Arabidopsis thaliana: one gene and its partner. The protein of the gene in region 1 interacts with the protein of each later gene in a pairwise test. Each region holds a gene or a part of one and is shown on either strand. Other genes may lie near its edges. The genes, in order: PUCHI and AT1G72570.

Region 1 (4,192 bases):
CCAAGAATCGTCACATTTCCAACCCTTAATACAAGGAGTCCATCACACTTTTGTACCGTAGCCCATTCGGTTAAAAAGGCAAGGTATTCATTCAAATCTAATTAATTTGATTGTTGGTTTACGTGGCTTATATGACGTAGTATTTGTTTTTGCTACAAAAACTTGTGTAGTCATTTGCAGGATTTCTATTAATGCTCGTATATATTTACGTAAGTTTTTGCTAAAAAGGCTAATATATACTTGCATATTACGTACTTCACACCAAAAGTACTAACTTATCCATATATATGAGCATTAGCCTTTTATAACATCATCAAATTAGATATACTAAAGATTATCTAACAGACTAACACTTAACCAAAAAGATTTCAATACAGATCAAAGCTTATCACACCAAATCTATATGTTTGCCTTTATTGAGTTCTACTATAAGAATTTTTGTATATGTATTCTTCCCAAGACTAATTAGTTAATGAAAATATGTACTCTCTTATTAACTAGAACGTTCTATTAATTATACATTTTTTCGAACATGGAATACATAAAAATATCAATCTAAATTCCACAATGACTGAAACGTAAGTGTTCTTACTCTTTTGAAAAGTTTGATTAAAGTCTCTAAACTAAATAATCCAGAGTTTGATTAGAGCTCATAGTCATCTTCTAATTGTTCTGTTTTTCTTTGAACTCTTACTTAACAGTCGTGTTATCGTTGACTATGAGCAATTTTCTTGATTCATCAATAGAACTGTTGTCGGGTAAGGCATTAACTTCCTAATGCAATCATATATGAAAATAGACGAAGCTCCTATGTATATATATATAATCCTACAAAACTACAAACACAAAGAGACTAAGATTGTTGTTGACTTGTGCTTGTTTGCAACTTTGCATACAAGGACATCAATACAAAATTGTCCACTGAGCTATTTAATTAAAACCAAATTTATACGTACTTCCTAAGCATTTTAATTTTTGTTTAGTTCATCGTGTCTTTCTCTAAACCACTCCCATTGAAAAATCAGAACAAGGTGACAAAATTGTTCTCATTTCTATTTCCGCTTAAAATGCGGGTAACCATGTGATTTGATCAGGGGTTGTAGAAACTAACACTGATTTTGAAATATATTTATTTTTGAATTGTTGATATATTGTGTTAGAAAATAACATTATCGAACCTACCTCAGTGCACTCAAATTAATTGGACATCCTTATCGTAATTAGCAATGCATGCATATCATCTCAAGGATATATCAATTAAGTAGGGGATTTAACCTAAAGAAATATATCGATTATTTTTACGTAGACCCTTGACCTTTAGGCTAAGGTATGTAGGGTTATTATGCATGTTGCACGTGACCACTAAGTAGATTATTTGAGTTAATCAATTAGCTTGATCCCATTGAAATAGAAGATTCAAATAGGATGATGCAATATATACATCACAATTACTTTTCTTAAGTTACTCGGTACTTAGTATGTATTTATTACTTGTTCTTTCTTCTAACTCGAGATTGGTTACTGTGACATTCCAGATTTTGCTGTAGTTCCAATGATTCTTGGCCTCTGTTTTAGGCTTTCATAAGTAGCCATCCGTGTATATACATACATATATATACTGTACACACAGTTAAAATTAAGACTGTTTTAAAAAAAGAAACCCTTAATAATAATCAGTCAATTAAGCTGTTTAAAATTTGTATGAATTTATTTCAGCTGGTTAAGCCATATAAAAATCCAACTAATGTGTCAGCGTTTTTTTTTTTGTTTTTTTTGTCGTTGATGCAAAATATAATATCTTTGGAAATATAATAAAAGAAACAAAACAAAAGATGGTCTACTAAAAGCAGTTGAATCAAAAGTGAAGTCTCTCTATCTTCTCTCTCTATCAAGCTCATTGTCTCTCTATTTATAACAACACTTCACTTCCATTCTCAAACAGCACCATCATCTTTAGACAGAAGCAAAGCCAAAAAAAAACTTACTCATCATAAGATATCTTTAACCAAAACCCTAAAAGAAACCTCCTTTCAAAAAAACCATTTCTTCATCATCATGTCAACCTCCAAAACCCTAGACCATAATAAACCATTTGAAACATCCCAAACGCAAATGGGTTTTGCTCTGATCCACCAAAACACATCCGCCAACACAACCACCACCACCACAACCGGCGAGAGACGAGGCCGGAGATCAAAGCAAGCGGAGCCAGGGAGGTTCCTAGGAGTCCGGAGACGTCCATGGGGTCGTTACGCAGCCGAGATAAGAGATCCAACCACCAAAGAACGTCACTGGCTAGGCACTTTCGACACAGCTCACGAAGCTGCTCTTGCCTACGATAGAGCTGCTCTTTCAATGAGAGGTACTCAAGCTCGAACCAACTTCGTCTACACTCCAACTGATGTCCACACCATCCTCACAAACCCTAATCTCCACTCTCTCATTGTCTCTCCTTACAATAACAACCAATCTTTCTTACCAAACTCTTCTCCACAGTTTGTCATCGATCATCATCCTCATTATCAAAACTATCATCAACCACAACAACCTAAACACACTCTCCCCCAAACTGTCTTACCCGCGGCTTCTTTCAAAACGCCAGTTCGTCATCAAAGCGTGGATATTCAAGCGTTTGGTAATAGTCCTCAAAACTCATCTTCTAACGGCTCGTTATCTTCTTCACTAGACGAAGAAAACAACTTCTTCTTCTCTTTAACAAGCGAAGAACATAATAAGTCCAATAACAACTCGGGTTACTTGGATTGCATTGTCCCAAACCACTGCCTTAAACCACCTCCGGAGGCCACCACCACCCAAAATCAAGCCGGAGCTAGTTTCACAACTCCGGTAGCAAGCAAAGCCTCTGAACCATATGGAGGGTTTAGTAATAGCTACTTCGAAGATGGTGAGATGATGATGATGAATCATCATGAGTTTGGTTCGTGTGATCTCTCTGCCATGATCACGAACTATGGTGCTGCTGCCGCTTCAATGTCAATGGAAGATTACGGGATGATGGAGCCGCAAGATTTATCTTCTTCTTCTATCGCTGCTTTTGGAGATGTCGTTGCAGACACTACAGGCTTCTACTCAGTCTTTTAGAACATTCTATATTATATATGTTTTTTATATATGCAATAATATTATTAGTATTTACGTTATTCGATGGTCGTTTGATTGTTGTTGTTAACTATATGTTATCGACTTTATTATATAAATCCTGCTTATTGTTTCATGCATCATAAGGTTACCTTACCTTGAAGTTTTGATTTGTTTTTTCTTTAATTTGTATTATGGTTTTGATTAGCAAAAAGGGATAATCCGAGTTGTATTAAAGACCACTTTTTGTCCATGCTACTTCGACACACTCATTATGTATATTTTATAAGTGTGCTATATTATAATAATAATGAAATCAAATGACTTGCTCCAAACGGATAAATGACTAGGATCGGAGTGAACAACTAATATATCACATGTAATATTAGGATTATAAGATCAGATGCAAATACCCCATTTTTCTATTTTTGATCAGTATGTGCTCAGATATTATGATTATTTTATGACAGTTATAAATTTTGACGTTAGTTTGAATTATAACATAATTGAGAGTCTAAGTTATAAAATTTAAAATTTAAAATTAGTGAATGTGAGATGGACTTTTAGTGAAGTAGCATGATGGTGTTTTTGGTCGTTAAACATGTGTTTTGGTCATGACTTGTTTGGTATTTCATTGCACAATCACTGTTTCATGTCTCCCTCCTTTTGCCTATATTTTGCCTTAACTTTTGTCTACAACAACTCAACATCACAACTCTTTATTTCATTTTTAAATCTGTTTAAGGTTTTTGACTTTCTTTCATAGAACTCAATTAGTGCCTTCTCCAATGTTGATCAACTATACACTTTTTTTGTTAACTCAACAAAGATCCAATCCTGTTATACTAGTCAAACATATATACGTTGGGAATTCATCATATATATATATGCTTCACAATTTGTCTAGCTTCAAATTAAATAACTTCCAAATAGTTACTGAAATTTGTATTGTTAATTATCTGTTTTGCATGCGTCAATATATATAACGATTTAGGCAAAATGTTCATTTTACTATAAGAAAAAAATAAATTAACTCGATAAAGACTGTAGAGTATGTGAAAAATATTTTAAAACAATCGATATTTTAATTTTA
Region 2 (4,967 bases), on another chromosome or scaffold:
GTTTATCTCAAGAAGTCCATAGAAACCTTCAAATTTCCATTGACACCAATTATTTTCACCATGGCATGAGGGAATTAGCTCGATACGGGTTCAAAATTAATCAAACTATCAAAGGCTTGGATGGATTTGATTATGAGTTAAATAAGTTTCACTTAAATTTGTAACGCTTTTCCTTAAAGTACGACCACGACAGAAGAAGGCACACAAATTGAGGAATCGCCTCTCCTCAACTTGGTGCAGTTAATATATACTAATTAATTAACACTTATGTTATGGATCCTGTAAATAATGAATGCATTAACTTTTTTCAATTAAAAATAAAAACGAAATTTAATCAAAGTATATCATAGAGAATAATATATAGTGGATTCTGATAACTTAATTTGCTAAAAAAGTTGTATATATGTAGACCGGCCTCAATTACTTAGGAATATATGTTTATTAAACCATAAATGATTAAACAGACTGGACGAACTTATTTCCTCAAACCAACCGTACGTGGGAATAGTCTCTCCGGCGAGGAGTTTACGGTGTCGGTTAGTGGCCGGCGCCAGAGCTGGTGGGAGAATGTTTGGCCTGGTCGCTATCAACAATCGTTGAGCTTGAACATATCCTCTTCACGTCATATCTATTTATATCGAAATTGGTTACAGCGTTTAGGCCTCTGAATTTAATTGCCGCGATATCGTACGCCTCCGCTGCTTCTTCTTGCGTGCCTTCATCATAGTTACAAAATGTGATATTTAATAATTCAAAGGCTATGATATAATTCCATATGTATAGAAGTGGTTCATACTAAATGTTCCAAGGTACAAGTCCTTGTTTCCAGCAACTCTTCCAATTCTGGCTTGCCACCTTCCATGTTGATGATGCCTACATGAGTTATACATGCATGATCATCATGATCTAATTCCATGCATGTACATGTACATATATAAATATATACAAGTTTCACATATATGTCCAAATCAAACCTTGTAACTCCTCTATACACGGAAGCTCCCCTCGAAAACCCGCTGCTATTCCTATGATTATGATATGTAATTACAAAGCGTTTGTTAATGGTTAAATGCATATGACTATATAAGGTCCATAAATATCATTACAAACCCACTGTTGAGTAATTACCTCCTCAACATGGCAACAAATTCTTGCCGATTCATGTTATTGAGTTCCTCGATCTCCTTTTCGTAATTACTCAACTGAATAAAAGAGCGTCAAAGGAACTGATATCACAAGCCAAATCTATGTAGTTCCATCAAAATCAAGTCAATAAAATCGGAAAATGATTACATTCAAGATCCAAAATATCGAAATAAGTATGGAAACTGTTATGTTGCATGTATATAAGTGTACATATATAAAACACACTTGCATGTAATAAAGGAGTTAGAAGTGGAGCTAGGTACGGGACCAGAAAGATCAAACTCACAGGGAAATTTAAGTGAGTGGTAGGACCCCAATACTTCAGAGCCGCTAAATCATATGCCCTCGCTGCTTTCTCCTCCTCATCATACCCTCCTATTTTAGTAAGTATTAATTCTACTATTAAATGTTTTTCTATAATTATCAGAAGGTAACAAGGTTAATTTTTACTTCGAAGGCCAAAAATAGGGCAACAAGAAATGAACGAGGGATCTCATGCATAATAGGTTGTAAAATAAAGTTCTGGCTTACCAAGATACACTGTGATTGATCAAGAAGCGAATTCGAAAGTACATACGAAGCCAAAATTAAATAATTGTTAGTAAGATTATTGATGCATGATAGCATATTGAATCGGAAAATTATTTTGTATTTGTTTTTTCTGACCTTGTCTTCCTCTCCTTGTCTGTCCCTCCTTCTTACAGCTATTATCCCATAAGTGAGCTTCATATCTCCCTGTCCATCTATGCCTGTATACACGCACAACATAAATATGTGTCGACACAATTATACATAATCTACAAAATAAAATGACAAATATACATAAGTAACATAATTGTGGCATTCACATTTTTCTTACGTGTAAGTTTGAGACATCATTTAAACCAAAACAAATGTTTGAGACGTCATTATTTAATAACGTACGTACCTTGTAACTCCACGATACTGAGAAGTTCTTTGTCCATAACTATCAACCGACTTCCGAGGAACGGATTCCTTTACCTGAGGTTTAACAACCAATCTCTTCCGCTTCTCATCTACCTTAACCGGTTCTTCGACCCGTGCGGATACATTCGATTCGTTGATCAAATCAGAACAAGCCCCATGGCTCAAAGCCAATGATAGCATTGAGCCATTGGTGTTATAACCAGTCTCTTCGTTACTAAAATGACTAATATTATTGCTCGTACCAGCCTCTTCAGTAACGTAATGACTCGAGAGTGGGAATGCTGGAGTGCCTTGCTCTAACCAAGATTTGAAAACCGAGACCGAACCGACCCTCTCAAAACCTCCATAATCATTGCTAAGGTTCGGATCTAGGTTCGGGTAATGTGGTGTAACTACGGTTTGGTCGTGGAGAAGGTAACCGGGTGGGTTTAACCTGTTAACCACAGTGGTGCAGTTGACATTGGTTTGGTTATGGTTTATAGGATACTCGGTTTGATGAGAGTTTGAGAGGAGATCTTCCACCTTTGGAACGTCTTCATCATGATGATGATGATCAAAGTTAATATCATATCTCCAAACTACACATAAAATAGAAATCAAATTAAGAATATTAATAGTGGCCACACCAACAACATATATATACCAGGGGGATGATGTGTGAAGAAGAGAGTACCATCGGAACCGTCATGCCTAAGTTCTTCTTCTTCACTATTGCAGATTCTCAAAGGAGGTGTCAATGAAAATCCCAACCATTTCTTCATCTCTCTCTCTCTCTCTAGCTGTCTTTCTCGCTCTTAGTTTATATGTATAGGGTTTCGTTTTATATGATTTGTAGTCTCATACGTGCGAATATACATTAATATTTTTCATAAGTCTAAAACATTTAATAAATTATATAATTAAAAAGGTGGAAAAAAGATTTGAGACAAAACAGGTGGCGGTGAAGTTTTGTCGTAAGCATGAAAGAAAGGAAGAGGAAGTTTCTCTCTCCCTCACTCTTTCACATTCTCTTTCACACACACTTGCATCTGACTTCTAGAGTTTTGTGCCCACTCTCCCTCGGATCTTTTCGATGTATACGTATATATATATGGGAGATACACATGACACACTACAATGAAAATTTTCGTTCTTTGGTATTTGATTAACTTTTCCGTAAAAAAAGCACACAGTAGCGCTTAAAAAAGTCAGTATTTTGTTTCTTTCGAAATATGTTAATTAGACAATAATACATTTCTTTTATTAATGTCTTTCTTTCGATATAATTTGGGATATTTTTTAATAAACTTAAAGAACATTACATAATTTAAAAGTAAACAAAATTTGTACTAAAATTAGTAGTATTGCAAGGAAATTTCTCCTTAGACGATAAAAATGTGTTTTTGATTGCTCATTCAATCGATCCGTTTGAAAATGATTCTAACTGTGATGGAGAAGCCTGAAATGATCTTGCTGTTTTCGCAGATTAGACAAAGATCAATCTAAAAGATAAAAGATATATATAGCTGGAGTGTTTGGCAATATGCTATCTAACTCATAAAATTTGCCTCAAGTGTGAGAAGCGGATAATGTGACGGTATAACCTTTGAAAACAGACACACAAAATATGATAGAACAAAAGAATAAGTGATCTCTCTTATTTGGTTGATTATATTGCATATGTTGCTTATAGATAGAAAATGAAATTGTGTTCCAAGCTGTTAACCAAGACTTAGTGGGTAGTTTGTCCATACTCGCCACCCACATAACGAAATGTCGTTCTACACAAAAAGCCACAATTGTTTTCTTTAACAACTGAAAAATGAATTTGTGATTTTATATCTTGCTACGGGCATCGGAAATATTCCAACCTCTTCTACGAGGTAATCGACAATGCCATTACAGAACAAACCTTTTCTTACAATTACCTAGTTTGTAGTATACAAAATAAAAATCGAGAGGTCTTAGCTACAGAAGTTGTCTCCATGAATAATTTCACAGTAAGTAGTTTAGTTATATGTATTAATGTGACAATTTGTTTTATAAAACATTAGATTAAGAAAGTGAAAAAACACCATTATATTTGCTAACTCACAAAACATTTATACATGTCTATCTTAATCTATCAGTATGCAACACCTAAGGCCTAAGGTGAGAGAGATTCAAGCCCATGGGCTGATTTACTGAATTCAGATGACGGTTAATTTTCAATTCGCTGGCAATAATATTTATAGTTCTCTGGGAAAATATTCTGCAAGCTAATAAAAATCTGTGTATAAAAAAAAAAAAACCCTACAGCTCCGTCTTCTCTCCAGTCTCACAATTTTCCTCATATTTATAAATCCGTAAGGGAAATTTTCTAGAAACTCACCAAAAAAAAGTATTCTTTGAATTCAAAGAGAAACCCAAACTAGGGTTTCCATAATCCCTTTTCTACTATATCTCCCACTCTCATAAATCCGATCGCTAAAATCGCCACGATCCTTACTTTCTGGTAAGCTCTCAAGCGAAACCCACTAAAAGTTTCGTCTTTTTCTTCTTCGCATCAAAATCTGATAAGGGAAGAGAACAGTGAAGGAGAGAAGCTAGCTGACGATACTAATTCAAGGCATTGTTTGACTTGTATGCAACAAACCAGGACTGGATTTTGAAATCTCGGTTTTTAGGGTTTTTGTAGTGGGGTTAAGTTAACACAATGGATGACCTTGAACAGGCAATAGTAATTAGCTTTGAAACTGGTGCTGTTGATTCGGCTTTAAAGTCTCAAGCTGTTACTTATTGTCAGCAAATCAAAGAGACTCCTTCTATTTGTAGTATATGTATTGAGAAGTTATGGTTTTCTAAGCTTGTCCAAGTTCAGTTCTGGTGTTTGCAAACGCTTCAGGATGTTTTAA

What was found.
Region 2: the proteins of PUCHI (region 1) and AT1G72570 interact in a two-hybrid assay, tested with the Arabidopsis thaliana proteins (one large-scale study listed by BioGRID).

What each region holds. Positions count from the first base shown.
Region 1 is NC_003076.8:6,163,769-6,167,960, reverse strand, and holds PUCHI (Integrase-type DNA-binding superfamily protein), read left to right. Parts: upstream 1-1,920; 5' UTR 1,921-2,055; coding exon 2,056-3,102; 3' UTR 3,103-3,435; downstream 3,436-4,192. UniProt on the Arabidopsis thaliana protein: Probably acts as a transcriptional activator. May be involved in the regulation of gene expression by stress factors and by components of stress signal transduction pathways.
Region 2 is NC_003070.9:27,329,269-27,334,235, reverse strand, and holds AT1G72570 (Integrase-type DNA-binding superfamily protein), read right to left. Parts: upstream 2,856-4,967; coding exon 2,768-2,855; intron 2,673-2,767; coding exon 2,075-2,672; intron 1,896-2,074; coding exon 1,813-1,895; intron 1,687-1,812; coding exon 1,678-1,686; intron 1,522-1,677; coding exon 1,433-1,521; intron 1,203-1,432; coding exon 1,129-1,202; intron 1,026-1,128; coding exon 975-1,025; intron 874-974; coding exon 797-873; intron 717-796; coding exon 538-716; downstream 1-537. Other genes in the region: PSD (ARM repeat superfamily protein), read left to right, coding at 4,769-4,967.